2 linked regions of the Macaca mulatta genome follow. The protein of the gene in region 2 purifies or fractionates together with the protein of the main gene of each other region. This does not show direct contact. Links are inferred from orthologs where the notes say so. Each region holds a gene or a part of one and is shown on either strand. Other genes may lie near its edges.

Region 1 (7,219 bases), on a different chromosome or scaffold from region 2:
AAAGGCGAGAAGACGGAGGGAAGGTAACAAGCAGAACAGTTTGGTGTCCTTCCAGAGCCCTGGGTAAAAAAAAAACCTCCTACCACCCACGCCCACCTACCCTTGAGCAGCCCCCAAGGGGACGAAGTGGGGCAGGGAAACATGGGGAGCAGCTTGCGCAGTTGAGACGTGTCCATGGCGAATCCCCAGAGTGAATAAGCAGCCCCCTGCCCCACTCCCTGGGCCTTCCCCTACTCCCCAAAGCAGGTCCCTCCTCAGCAGTTAGTTATGGGATTCTCCCCCCTTCCACAGTATATCTTTTTTTTAAAAAATATTTTTTTTCCATCAAGGTCATCTTCTGTTTTTCTTTTTTTTTTTTTTAATTCTTTTTTTTTTCCTTCTTTCCTCTTTTTTTCCTCTCTCTCCTCCTAATACACACTTTTTTTAGTAAGGGGAATACCATGATGTCGCTCTAGCCCGGCCCCTGGAAGAAAGAAGGAGAGTTAGGTGTTAACGTGATCACTAGATAGTTCAGTACAAGCCCCTCCCCGTGGGCCCTTGACCCAGTTACTGTGAAGGGAAGTGGGGAAAAGAAGTTTTCAAGTGTCCTAAAACTGACCCCATGATCCCAGAAATAGTAACACACCTTGAGAACTGGGGCAGGGGGAGGGGGGCTTAACAGAAAACTTTGCCAAACAGTGGCAAAAAAGAAGTGCATCTGAGTGAGAAACAAGGGCAAGAAAAACGACCCTCTTTTTATCCAGTTTTCAGTCCTCCACAGCTCTTATACCCTAGGCCATCACAAATAGATCCTCCCTAACTCCTGGGAATAGGCAGGTAGAGTTTATGAAAAGCCAAGGTTTATATGCCTAACCTGTCTATTTAAATGTAAAGAGACAAGTGAAGCAAGGCAAAAACCTGGACACCACACTAGGCCCAGTGAGAAGTTAACCTTGCAAGACTGGCTCAAATAAAGAGTAAATATCTCAAAATCCTCCCACAAGGCTGTTGGGGAGGATCAACTAGCTAGCCTCTGGTATTCTTCCAAGGGAGGTTCAGTCTTCAACCCCTCCCTCCGAAAAAAGAAAAAAGTAACAAATGTCCAAGCAGTGCTTTCACTGCCTGGAGGCCCTGTTCCTCCGGGCTTCGTGTAAACACCTTCAAATGCCACCAACTCCCAAGAAAAAAAAGGCTGGGGGTGGAAGCCTCTTTGAACCAAGGGAGGGATGCAGCCCTTATCACCAATTCCTACTGCAGAAAAGATGATGAAGTTGGCCTTCTGGCCTGGCCTGCAACTACCTTCCTCACCCTGCACAGGCAGGAGACAAAGTTCCTGAAGACCACAGGGAGGGGTGGGGGAGGGAGGTTCCTCAGACCAGGAGAGAAGGAAGCATACAGGGCTCATGGGAGGCGGGGGGGAAGAGGAGCAGCCCATCTATCCTGACCTGTAGACACGACCCCGGGGCCTGCTGTTAAAACCACTGTAGAATCGAGAGCGGGAACTGTTGTAGTTGGTGGTCCGGGCGCGGTAGCGGGCTCGTGGAAAACCCCGGTCTGTTGTGCTGATGCCTGGTCTGTTGGTTCGTTTTGGGATCACCTGAGTCAGAGATGAACAAATGATAGCCTTAAAGTCAACCCAGAGAGTTTATACAGAACCAGAACAGCAATGGACATAGGCTTACCTTGATTTGCCTTCCTCTAAATAGGGACTCATCTAAGGCCAAGGAAGTCCTCACTGACTCTTTGTCTGAGAACTCTATATACGCAAATCTGAAAAGAATTGTCATTGTATCTCTCTGAGGTTACAAATACCTCACAAGTCAAATTCAACTTGCAGGCATGCTTCTTTTTGGGCTACAATGTGGTTACATTTTTTATTTGTCAAAATTCTTCTAAATGGAAAATTTCATTCAAAATCATTTAAATTTTAAAATTTCCAGCTACTCTTTGAAACTTGTAAAAATAAGACACACAGGGCCTGAATTTCCATATGGCCATAACAGGCCAAGTAGAAGCTGCCCCTCCCCTTCTAGTTTGTGATCCCACCCACACCTAGCCTTCATTTTTGTTATCTGGCCTCTGAAGACATTTAGGTGCAACTCTTGATATATATCAAAATTGATGCCATGATCTTAAATGACACAGATCACCTGTGTTAACAGCAAATAACTTACTGCTCACTATAAAACATAATTTATCTATTTTTGCACTGTAAATTATCTCAACTTACTCCCCTTTACTTACCCTTTGGGATGGCCACTAAATTTGTCACAGAGTATGGTAACACGGTTGACTGATCCACAGCCATGAAAGTGAGCTTCCAGCTCTTCTGCTGTTGCACCATAGTCCACCTGATGAGAGGAGAAAAATTTCACAGGCACCAGGCAAATTCCTGTCTCAACAGGAACCCTCCCTAGCCTTTGGTCTGGGCCATCTATACACCAAAGCACATGAAATCTGGTAATTTGAGGAACTAATCCTTTTGCTTCCAAACCCAGAGCCTTTGCTGATTACTGATCATTCCATTACCTTTAACCTCCTTCCCACACTCCCTCCACACACCCCCAAAACCACACCGATCCCGGAGATGTTCCTTCCAGGACTATTAAATAACTCCCCAAAAGAAGAACTTGCCCCCAACCCCAATCAGAGCCCCAGCACATACATTGCCAACATAGATGGAACGGGCATCAGCCTCCATCTTCTCCTCAATGGACATGATCACTGGGCCAGCTATCAGGAAAAAATAATATTTTTTAAAAACCACACACTTGTTTTTGACCAATATATTGCACTTCCACCACCAGCACTATCCCATTAGCTCAACGAAGGCAAAGATTTTGGTCTGTTCTGTTCTCTGCTGTACCCATAACCTAGAATAGTGCCGAGTCCATAGCAGGTACTCACTAAACATTCGATAAATTGAAAGAATAAACTAATACACACTTACAACAGTATAGGAATCCCTCCTGCCTCCAAATCAAATCCCTAATGAATGGCTTTGGCTGAAATGCTTTTAAGAGTGAGCAAAATTAAGTGGGCTGAGACTCCACATTTCTAGATTAAAGGGGAAACCCCTTGCAGCTTGCTTTCTCTTAGAATCCTAACTAAAGCGTTTCCAATTGGAAGAAAACTATTAGATTTGAAGGTCAAATGCGAGCTTGCAACCTCTACAAAGGATAGACGTAGACTAAGAACAAAGAGCAACACAATTATAACAGGGACAAAGGGAAGCACAAGGCTACCACCACCAAAATATAGGTTCTGCCTCACAAAGGTCAGGCGAACACACAACGGATTATGACCGCGGCACAGTCATAATAGCTCAGACAAGCAGCTCCAGGGTGCCGAGTATCTTACCCCACATTCCCCATCTTCCCCACAACCCTTCCAGCCCGAGAACCCTGGCTCCGCGTGCAACCGCCAGTTACTCACCATTGCCTGGAGGTGGACTCATATTCATCTGCTTCTCTACCTCGTTCTGTAGCTCCTTTAGCTTCTCAGCTTCTTCCTCCATCTCCCTGACTCGAGCTTTGATAGCTTCCAGCTCCTAATATAAGTGGGGAGGGTATGGAAGAGAGCTTAAGAGGAACCAACGCAGGGGCTGTGCCCTGCTCTCGGCCGGAGCGCGGCCTCAGCCACGCTCGGCCATTTCCCTCGCCCCATGCGAGGGTCGTGATAAAAGAAAAGCAAGCTACCCTCTCTAGAACAACACTAGGCACCCGTGACGCCCGAATCAAGCCAGCCGGGCCCCTTGTAGTGATCGCTGACCCATCCCCGGCCCGACCCGGCCCCAGCCACGTTATTCCCCGCCCAACCCCACCCCCCGCCTGCCTCCCGCTCGCCCGAGCTCTGGGCCTCCAGTGACCCGGCCGGCCAGCCGCCGGCCTGCTGGCTCGCCCTCCTTCCCTCACCGGGTCCTCAATGGCGCCGTCCCCCGGGTCACCCTCGACCAGTCCCGGCTCCTCCTCCTCCTCTTGGCTGCCGGGGGCTCCCGAACCAGGCCCAGGGCCCGGAGCTCCCGGGGGGGCGCGGGGCCGGGGCGGCTCCTCTTCGGGCTCGGGCTCCGGCTCGGGCTCCAGCAGCAGCTCCTCAGGCTCCAGTTCCTCAGACTCCAGGCCGTTCCCGTAGTCCCCTGCGCCCCCCGGGGCCCCCTCCCCGGCCTCCCCACCGGCCCCGGGCACAAGATGGCGCCGCCGCCCCGGCCCGGAGCCCCGACCGCCCGCAGCCCCCGCTGCTGCTGCCGCCGCCGCCGCCGCCGCCATCGCCGCTCAGACTGGGGCCCGCCGCCCGGCGATTGGAGAGCTGCGCCGGCCACGCCGAGGACTCATTAGTCAAGCTGCCTGCCCGTCACCACGAGCTAGTACTCCATTGGGGAATATTACTTGGCAATCAAATGAGACCCCACCTCTAAGGCGGGGTACTGTGCCAAATTCTCAAATCCCGGTAGGGGAAATCTGCCTGTCAATCAACACGCGTCCCACCTCCTATCGAGTCCTTAGGTAATAATACCGCCACGCTGTGACGATATTTCTGCTTCTCCCCGGCCTACGGGCGGGCCCGCGAAGTATAGGACGCTCCGTGATTGGCCCTAGCTAGGCGACTGGAAAGGACCAATCTTCCGATCGCCTCACCGCAGTGGCCCAGTCTCAGATGCTGATTGGCTCGCGAGATTCGAAGGAGTGACACTCGTTTCGTGACAGGTGAACCTTGCCCCCGAACGGACTGCCCGGCTTCAAACTTGGAAAACCCGAAGTCACATGACTAGCCAGCCCTTAGGGGGCCGCCATCTTGATACTACTGCTTGCCAGCTAGTGAGCTGTTGGCCGGGTGAGGCCCAAAACAGAGCAGCAGTTTCAGGAAACTTGTATCCTGACCAGGAAGCACTAGTAGATGGGATATTGCTGAAAATGGAGGTTGTGAATGAATCATTCCAGGAGGGAGCTTACTTTCTCCATCCAGGTTATTGGCACCATCATCCACTAGCTCTCCCACACCAGAAAGCAGGGAGAATTCCTCAGTCCAGAGCTACTAATCACGAGTCCTGTCTGTCCCACCCTCTTGTGTAGACCTCCTGCTCCCTAGTTCCAATTTCTTCTCTTCCCAGGACAGCTTCCAATGTCACCCTTCCAATCTGCACCGTTAACAGACTAGCCCCCCTTTGCAGGCGAGGTAAAGCCTCAAAACGGTAAATCACAGCCTTCGACACCCCAGCATGTGGTTACTTTGTGGATGTCTCCTTCCACCCTTCTCGTTCCATTTTGTGTACCTGCACCCAGTCTGTGCCTCTAACATGTAGTTCCCCTTCAACCAAACCACTGCAAACCTCAGCTTCCCCTCATTTCCCAGGACAAGTGGGCCTCTCTCCACAGCGCGCTTCATTGTTTTGTGGTTTCTTAACTAGGTTGTGAGCGCCTTCAAATGAGGGGCCGGATACTATTTATATTCACATCTCCACAGCCTGGCAATATGCCTACCACATAAGGTCCTGTTAGATGTTTGTTGATTGAGCATGCATTGATTGGGGATCTGGGTGCCACCCTTCATTTCAGCCCTCAAGCTCCCAAGATCCCAGAGGAATTTCTCCTGGCAGGCTCCCACTACACGGCTGCATCCGAAATATCAAGGAGACCTAGCCCTGGAGGGCAGAATTGCCACATTTTTGTAGCAATCTAACACATTTATTAAAAAGGAAGGAATGGCAGTGTAAGTTTGCAAGAGGAATTTTTGTGGGCACACTAACCTACAGTTCGAAAGATACGTATAAGCCCAACCAAAAAGTTAAACAAACATGGTTGGCAGAGGGATTTGGACAAGAGAACATCTTCATTAGCAAACCAAAAATCAAAAGTGACTCATTATACCCCACTATTCCCCTCACCCCCACTTTTTCTCACAATTCCTTACCTCGAGATCTGGGGAACTTGGAGCAGAGTCACAGTCGCTTAAAATTTCACTGCAAATTACTTCATCAGCCATCTCAGCTTCAGTGATCTGGGATAACTAAAGTTGAGCACCGAAGACAAGCTCTAAATGATTGAATACCCTGGAAGAAAGGTCTTTTATACTAATCTTAACCTAATCAAGATTTGTTTATCTTATTGGTACCCAATTTAATCAAGCCAATGAAAGGAAATGTGATTTTTAAAAATGGCTTTGAATCCTATTTTTGTTGAGCGCTTGATTTTGTAATAAGCACCACTCCTTATTATCTCATTGGACTCTCACAACAACCCCATGAGGAAAATATTTCCAAAACCATAATCTTCTTTAGGGAAAAAGAAAAAGGCTTAATGAAATGAAGAAACTTGCTTAAGTCATTGGACTAATTAGAAGTGTGCAGTGCTGGCTGGGCACGGTGGCTCATGCCTGTTATCCCAGCTCTTTGGGAGGCTGAGGCGGGAGGATCACCTGAACCCAGGAGTTTCAGACCAGCCTCGCCAAAATGGCGAAACCACATCTCTACTAAAAATACAAAAATTTCGCTGGGCATGGTGGTACATGCCTGTAAACCCAGCTGCTCGGGAGGCTGAGGCAGGAGAATCGCCTGGGCAACAGCAAGACTCTGTCTCAAAAGAAAAAATATAAATAATATATATAATACATAATATATATTATGTAATACATATAATAGTGTGCAGGGAATTCAAAGCCAGCTTTCAAAGCTCAGATCAAAACTACTATAAGGCCTGCTTTAATACATAAAAATTATGTGTGAAAAATGGAAAGACTAAATCCAACAACAGACAAAAGTTTAAGCAAACTATAATTATATCCAAGAAAAAATTATTATGCACCTATTAAAAGGGTTACCTAGTGTGACAAACATGTGAAAATAATTTTGTTAAGCCAAAGAAGAATGTAAAATTGTACATAAAATATAATTACAACTATGATTTTTTTTTTAAAACTTAAGCATGGGAGGAAAAAAGGAGCAAGAACCAGTACAATCTTTCTATTCTTTGGCAATATGTACCAAAAGCTTTTAAAATGGTGAGATTCTTAAGATCAGGCGGAGTGGCTCACAACTGTAATCCCAACACTTTGGGAGCCAGATTGCTGAGTCCAGAAGTTCAAGACCAGCCTGGGCAATATGGCAAAACTCATACTCCACTAAAAATACAAAAATTAGCTGGGCATAGTGGCATGCGCCTGTAGTCCCTGCCCAGCTACTTGGGAGGCTGAGGCCACAGTGAACCATAATGGTGCTACGTGCACTCCAGACTGGGCAACAGAGTAA
Region 2 (7,249 bases):
AGGCAATCCTAATTTTATATGGGCACACTGGTACATCTTATAGCCTTACAATAAATTTTAGACCCACAAAATGGAAAACAAAAACCAACTCTGTAAAATAAGAAAGTAAAGTAACTAAAACCAACAACTTCAACATTACATTTTTAAAACTTAAGCACACTGTTTCCTTTTTTTTTTGGCTCATCTATTTTGATATTGAACAACTTCAAAGAAAGATAACATGCCTTGATCCTGCAGATTTAAAACAGAGGCAACCATCACTTCTGAAATAAACTATACTCTCCCAGAATAAGAAATCCTTTCACTTCTATTCATTTTTTTCTTTAGTTAAGTAAAAAAATCAGCCACAGTCTAAAAGACAAGGACCTAATTCTAAGAAGCTTAAATGGGGCTAATACAGCAAATCTGAAATTTTTGTAAATTGCTGAAATTCCCAAAATTGTATTCGTATTGTTTCTGGCTAAGATTTTGAACAATCTAAATCCTTTCTTAAAAGAACAAACAATGGACTGCATATCCCATAGTAACTAAAAAGCTTCAGAGACATTTTTAAAGCAAGTCTAAGCAATTAAGATTCAGCACTGGACTAGTATCCATACACATTACTTTTCATTTAGCATTTCCTTTTCCTTGTTTATAAATGGACTACTACGTGAACTTCATTGGTACAGTCTCCTAATCCTACCTCCCTGAATCTTTGATAGTCAAGTCTCAACACAGAAGTCTAATTTTATAATCTTCCTATAAGATGCAACCCTCTGCTATCTCTCTAATCTTATCTCCTATAACTTCCCCCTCACTCTGCTCCAGCACCACTGGCTTCCTTGCTGTTCTATGAACATGACAGGAACCCTATAGTCTTAAGGCTTTTGCGTCCATGGTTCCCTTTATTTGGATCACTGCTTTTCCTCATACAGCTATAAGGCTGCTACCTTACCTCCGGCAAGTCTCTGATCAAATGGCATTCACAATGAGGCCTTCTCTAACCAACTTACATAAAATAGTAACTTCTCCCTCACAGAAATCTCTGCCCGCTTTACCTGTTATCACTCCATAGCGTCTGTCACTGTATGATACACTACACTTTACTTGACTGTCTTCTCTCTACTCTAGAGGGGAGGCTCTATCTTTATATTGTCCACTGCTGTATTGCAAGTAATTAGGACAGAGCTTGGCACTGTTAAGTATTTGTTGAATAAATCATTTTTCAGATATATTACTTTCCATATGATTGCTTCTATATATAAAGTATACACGTTATAATTACATATTTTATGTAAAATATATATATGTAAATATATTATATATTCTATTATAGTATTTTATATATAGAGAGAGAGTGAGTGTCAAGCATATGAAAGTCAGGGCAGAGACTGACAACAGCTGACAACTGTCCAGAAATGCTCAGATGCACCTATTTAATTCTGACTGTAATAATTCCTAGCCTATTTTAAGATAGCCTTCTATAATCCTTAAGCTTCTAAGAGTTCTCATTTTTAAAAAAATAGATGTTTAACTAAAAGGAAAGTATCCAAAATAATCTGATTCAGATCACTATGTAGGGTAAACTCCAGCTGATTGTTATCCAAATTGTGGCAATTTACAAAAATTTCAGATTTGCTGTATTATCAAACATGAACTGTATCTGCCTCTCCCATACTAAAATACCAACCTTAAAAACTTTTGCTTAATGAAGGCCTTGTTTTACTTGTCTTATTTACTCTGAGGTTCCTGCAGCAAGACCCAAATGGACAGCGATTTGGCTGCAAGCTGGTGTTAAAATGAAGCCAACTCCAAGAAAGTTATGTAAGTCTCCCAATAACCAAAGCAAAAGTTATTTTTCTACATATTTGCATTCCAATTCTCTAGGATGCCCTACAATGACATTTCCTCTCTCTTTAGGGATTACCTATAAGTGAGAGAAAGAAAGCATAAGAACAACAAAGAAATTGGAAAGAACAAAACACTCAAGTTCTCCAACCCCCAAGTAATGACTTGAGAAGTATATTAGTTTTTGATTAGTCAATTACAAAGCATAAGAAAATTGTATTATCGGCGGGCGCAGTAGCTCACATCTGTAATCCCGGCACTTTGGGAGGCCGAGGCGGGTGGATCGCCTGAGCTCAGAAGTTCAAGACCAGCCTGGGCAACGTGGCGAAACCCCGTCTCTACAAAAAATACAGGGAAAAATAAAAATTGCTGGGCGTGGTGGCCTGCGCCTGTGGTCCCAGTTACTCAGGAGGTTGAGATGGGAGGATCACTTGAGCCTGAGAGGCAGAGGTTGCAGTAAGCCGAGATCGCGCCACTGCACTCCAGCCTAACAAGAGTGACACTCCGTCTCAAAAAAAAGGGGAGGGGATTGTATTTTCTGTGCCTTGCACACAGGTTACACAAGAAGCCTCTTGTGTTAGAAATCAAAGCATGCAGCATAGTTATTTAATTTATACCTGGGTAGTGAAGAGAGCCCCGGACTGGATTTGCTATTGCTGGTGTTTGGGAACTGACAGCTGTCTCTCCGTGTTATGCTCAATCTCTAAACCCTTAGGTGTCAGATGAGAAAGCTGGACTAGAATATCCTCTCAAACCACGCCTTCGTAAGAAATCTGGTGTTTCACTATTAAAACTAAATGCGTGCGATTCTGCCTCCACCTCAACTGCCACAACACTCAAGGAGAGACAAACGTTAATGGATAAAACTTACTCAATTTAAAATGTCTGTTACGGTTTCTTTTCTTACATTGACAGCATCTGCTAACGTTTACCGCCTCTTAAGCGCTGGCAAATGATTAAAACATCATCGTTGCTGATGTGTATTACCTCATCTAACCTTCACAAAACCCAGAAGATATAAGTATCATTACGTCTATATTACAGACTAAAGTTTAAGGAGATTACATAACCTGGAAAAGATCACCAAGTAAATGGTAGGGTCTGGCTTTGAATCTAAACCCTCTGGTTCCAAAGTCTCACCTCTTAACCACTACTCTACACTCTCTTCAAAAAACAATACACTAAAACGTTAACAGAATTACTCTAAGTTTCACTTTTTTGGTGTGTGGATTTGTGTTTTTGACCGATTGTAAGGCTTATGTATAATATAAGCATTTTTTTGTTGTTAAAACTAGAATTATTCCGTCTTTATGAAGACAACACTATGATCTCCACGAGCACAATCATCCAAATGCAGATGGGAACCCCTGTTCTAACTCTCTGAGGCCTGAAGTTAGTTTTCTAGCACTCTCTCTCACACGAGGGAAATGCGCTTACGGCCACTTCAAAATCTGCAGTAACCTGTGTCTGTTTATTAGGGACCTCTTGGGCGTGGGTAAGACAATATTCTTTCCCTGCAGCTCGAAATAAGGGAAATCAACGGATGACCACTACCGGAACAGAGTTCAGATTGCAACTCATGAGATCTCTCAGTTCTTTCCTTCAGTGAATTCTTCCGAGCCCTTCTCAGGTGCAGCTTTGAAGGTTAAAACGAGACACTGGGACCAGTGGGTCCCTAAGACGCGGCAGCACGGACACAGGTGTGCTTCCCTGCTCGGTGGTGCTAAGGACCAAATTCTGAAGCCTCCTTAGAGACCAAGGGTCTACCCATGGGGTTCACCAGGCCTCCTTTCCCGAGGATCGGCCCTTGACTCAAAGAACTGGGGCGGGAGAAAAAAAGTCGCTTTCTAGAAGCCGCCCAGTCACACCGCCACTGTATTCCCCTCTTTCCCTCCGCGGCTCCCCACACGGTCCCGGGGAGAAGAGCTTCCAGTCTCTTCCATGGACACTCAAAGATGCCGAGCCTCGGTTCCCAACCGGGAGCGGCCTCCGCGGCCGGGCTGCAGGTACTCACCGTCGTTCTCGTCGCTGTGCCGCCGCCGCGACATGCTGCCCTCCGGTGCGCCGCGGAGCCCAGAAACCAGGCGGTAAGCGCCGAGGAAACTGTCCTGCCGCTGGCCGGCGCAAGGACAGCTGCGAGGCGCGCGGATGGGCCGGCACGCAGGCGCACTCGCTCGCCACGGCTCCCGGAAGCTCAGGAGAGGCCGCCGGGTGGGCTCGGCGCTGCTAGAGCCGGCGTGAGGAAGCTCAGTGGGCTACGGGCGTCGGGCACACACGCAACCGCCCCCTCAGGCTGCCCCCGCCTGCCGGCTGCTTCTTTCTCCCGCCTTCCGCTCTGTGTCCTTCCGGGGCCACGCAGAAAGTGCCGCCGTTTCGGCCAGTCAGAGACCCCGGACCGCTGTCGTCGTACGCCTGAAGGCGGGTGGTGCCGGCGGCCGCTCTAGTCCCCGCCTCCGCTCAGGCCGGTCCTCCGGGGCTTCTCAATGGTTTTCCCGGCGGCCCTTGCGCCGACGTCCAGGAGACTTCCGGAGCCTGGTGACGTCACGAACGAGCTTTTCTACCCAAACACGCGACGGGGAACACACTGCAGGGCGGTGAGCGGTAACAATTGCTAGGTGGAAACAGTGCAGGGAAGAGAGACCTAAGAAAGGATCAGGACTGGCGGGTATGTGCTCGTCTACTCCCACTTTCTGGCTTTTGCCGCCTTGGGAAAAGTGGGCGGAGAGGTTGGGCCAAGCTCGGCATGCGGGGTGGGGCCTGGGCGGGAGGCGGTGCCGCACGTGCCTCCCCCTGGGTTGGAAAGGCCGGCCCTGACGCGAGCGTGCTGCTCCCGGCTTGCCGGCTGGCTGTCATTTTCCCTAAGTTGTTTGCTTAAGAAGGAACAAATGATTGTTTTAGTAATCAAGGGTTATTGGGTACCTGTATGCCTGTGTGTGACCGTCCCCTGCCCTGATGTCTTTATGAGTACCATACTGGCTTATCTGCTTTGTCCATGGCCATCTGAAATTTCACTCTCCCGGCCTAATTCTCTTTCAGTCTTACCCATTTCAGTAAATGACGTCATCCATCGGCTGCTTAATCCAAAAATTTAGAGAGTCTTTCTTAGCTCTTTTCCCTCACTTTTTACATAACAATGATCTGTAAACCCTGCCTGTTCTCCTTTCAACACAAATCCTGAATCAGATCGTGTTACTGCTCTGTTTAAAAGTCTCCTGTGACGGCCGGGCGGGGTAGCTAACGCCTGTAATCCCAACACTTTGGGAGGCCGACGTGGGCGGATCCGCTTGAGCCTAGGAGTTCAAGACCCATCTGGACAACGAGGCGAACACTGTCTTTACAGGGAAAAAAAAAAAAAAAAAAAAAAAAATTAGCCGGGCCTAGTGTTTGGCTCCTGTAGTCCCAGTTACTCGAGGGGAGGGTTGGGGGCGGAGGTGGGAGGATCCCTTGAGCCCAGGAGGTCGAGAATACGGTGAGCCGTGATCACACCACTGCACTCCAGCCTGGGGGACAAAGCGAGACCGTGTCTTAAAAAAAAAAAAAAGTCTCCTTCGACTTTCCATTGCACACTCCATACCATGGCCTGTGGAGTTCTACCTCTCCTCACTGTACTCCAGACCCTCTTTCTGTTCGTACAATAAGTCAAGCTTGTTCTTATTTTAGGAACTTATACTGTTTCCTTTACCTGAAGGTCTCTGGTTCTAAATCTGCGTGACTGGCTCTTGGTCACTTAGGTCTCAGCTCAAATATCAGGTCCTTAGTGAGGACTTCTTTGGTTACCCAATTGCTGTTTTATTTCATTCAGCGAATATTGTATTTATTAGCATTTAGCACCTCGTAGGTGCCAGGCAGAGTTCTGAATGCTGAGGATGTCGAGGTGAACAAAGGAAAACCACTGCTCTCGTGGCGCTGATATATTCTAACGATCCATTCAGGAATAGCCCCAAATAGTGCCATCATAGGTAGTGAACAATGGGAGACTAGTAGATGAGATCAGAGGGGTAGGGAGAAGGTGCTCTGTAAGGACTTTGAACATTATCCAAGTAAATTGAGAAGTCATTGGAGTATGAATTTTTTTTTTTTTTTTTGAGACAGAGTCTCGCTCTGTTGCCCACGCTGAAGTGCAGTGGCACAGTCTTGGCTCATTGTAACCTCCACCTCCTAGGTTCAGGCAAGTCTCGTGCCTCAGCCACCTAATTAGCTGCAATTAAAGACATGCGCCACCACACCAGGCTAATTTGTGTATTTTTAGTAGAGATGGGGTTTCGCCATGTTGACCAGGCTGGTCTTGAACTCCTGGCCTCCCAAAGTGCTGAGATTACAGGCATTAGCCACTGTGCGGGGCCAGTCTGACTTATTTTTTAATAGTTACCTCTCTGGCTCCCAAAGGAGGAAGATAGTTCTGCTGTTACAATAATTCAAGCTGCAAATGATAGTAGCTTGAACTAGGGTGGTAGTGAAGATGATGGTGCAAAGTGATCTGATTAGATTGTACTTCAAAAGCAAAGCTGGCCAGGCATGGTGGCTCATGCCTGTAATCCTAGCACTTTGGGAGTCCCAGCTGTACTCCCAGCTGCTACTTGGGAGGCTGAGACAGAAGAATCACTTGAACCCATGAGGCGGAGGTTGCAGTGAGCTGAGATCATGCCACTGCACTTCAACCTGGCGACTGAACGAGACCTGTCTCAAGAAAAAAAAAAAAATAGGATTTTCTGAACAAGTGAATGATAGTGTGAGAAAATAAGGAGTCAGGAATCATCCCAAAGTTTTTTTTTGTCTGAGTAACCGGAAGAATAAAATTGTCTTGTACTCAGATAAGGAAGACTAGGGAAGACCAGAGTTTGGTTTTGAACAGTTGTATTTGAAGCTGAAGCTAGCTAGCTTCACACGCAGTGGGGTATGTGAATTTGTAGTTTGGGAGAAAGGCCCAGGTTGAAGATATGAATTTGGAGTCATTTATTGTATAGTATTCTAAACATAAAATTTCCTTTATGTTTCCCTTTTTTCTTTTTTTGTGTAATTTTCAAATATTTACAAAAGTAGGGAAAATTTATGATGCATCCCCATGTACTCATCAACTTCAGTAATTCTTAATTCATGAATATTCTGGTTTCGTTGATATTACCTCCTCTCACCCAATTATTTTGAGGCAAATATAGTTTTAAGTCCTTGGAAGTAGATGAGATCACCTGTGGGGTAAGTATAGATATAGAGTAGTTCAACATTTAGAGGTTGGGGTAATAAGGAAGACCCAGCAAAGGAAACTGAGAAGCAGGGACCCTTATCCCTAGCTGGTATTTTCTTTTTTTTTTACTTACTTAATGTCTCTCCTTACCAGAATATAAGCTCCAAGAGGGCAGGGACTTCAACTGTTTCATTCATAGCTGCATTCCCAGGACTATTCCATGGGCCTGGCACATAG

Evidence for each region. Proteins that work in one complex are often made in the same cells at the same time.
Region 1: the proteins of NCBP1 (region 2) and PABPN1 purify together in Homo sapiens (co-immunoprecipitation; 3 studies listed by BioGRID and IntAct, with this or other methods). This does not show direct contact. The link is inferred for Macaca mulatta from reciprocal best matches to the Homo sapiens genes NCBP1 and PABPN1.

What each region holds. Positions count from the first base shown.
Region 1 is NC_133412.1:96,418,539-96,425,757, reverse strand, and holds the start of PABPN1 (polyadenylate-binding protein 2), read right to left. Parts: upstream 4,263-7,219; 5' UTR 4,245-4,262; coding exon 3,894-4,244; intron 3,784-3,893; exon of another isoform or gene 3,678-3,783; intron 3,530-3,677; coding exon 3,415-3,529; intron 2,713-3,414; coding exon 2,645-2,712; intron 2,331-2,644; coding exon 2,224-2,330; intron 1,750-2,223; coding exon 1,662-1,749; intron 1,577-1,661; coding exon 1,425-1,576; intron 464-1,424; coding exon 424-463; 3' UTR 1-423.
Region 2 is NC_133420.1:60,764,773-60,772,021, forward strand, and holds the start of NCBP1 (nuclear cap-binding protein subunit 1), read right to left. Parts: upstream 4,126-7,249; 5' UTR 3,879-4,125; coding exon 3,845-3,878; intron 1-3,844. UniProt on the Homo sapiens protein: Component of the cap-binding complex (CBC), which binds cotranscriptionally to the 5'-cap of pre-mRNAs and is involved in various processes such as pre-mRNA splicing, translation regulation, nonsense-mediated mRNA decay, RNA-mediated gene silencing (RNAi) by microRNAs (miRNAs) and mRNA export.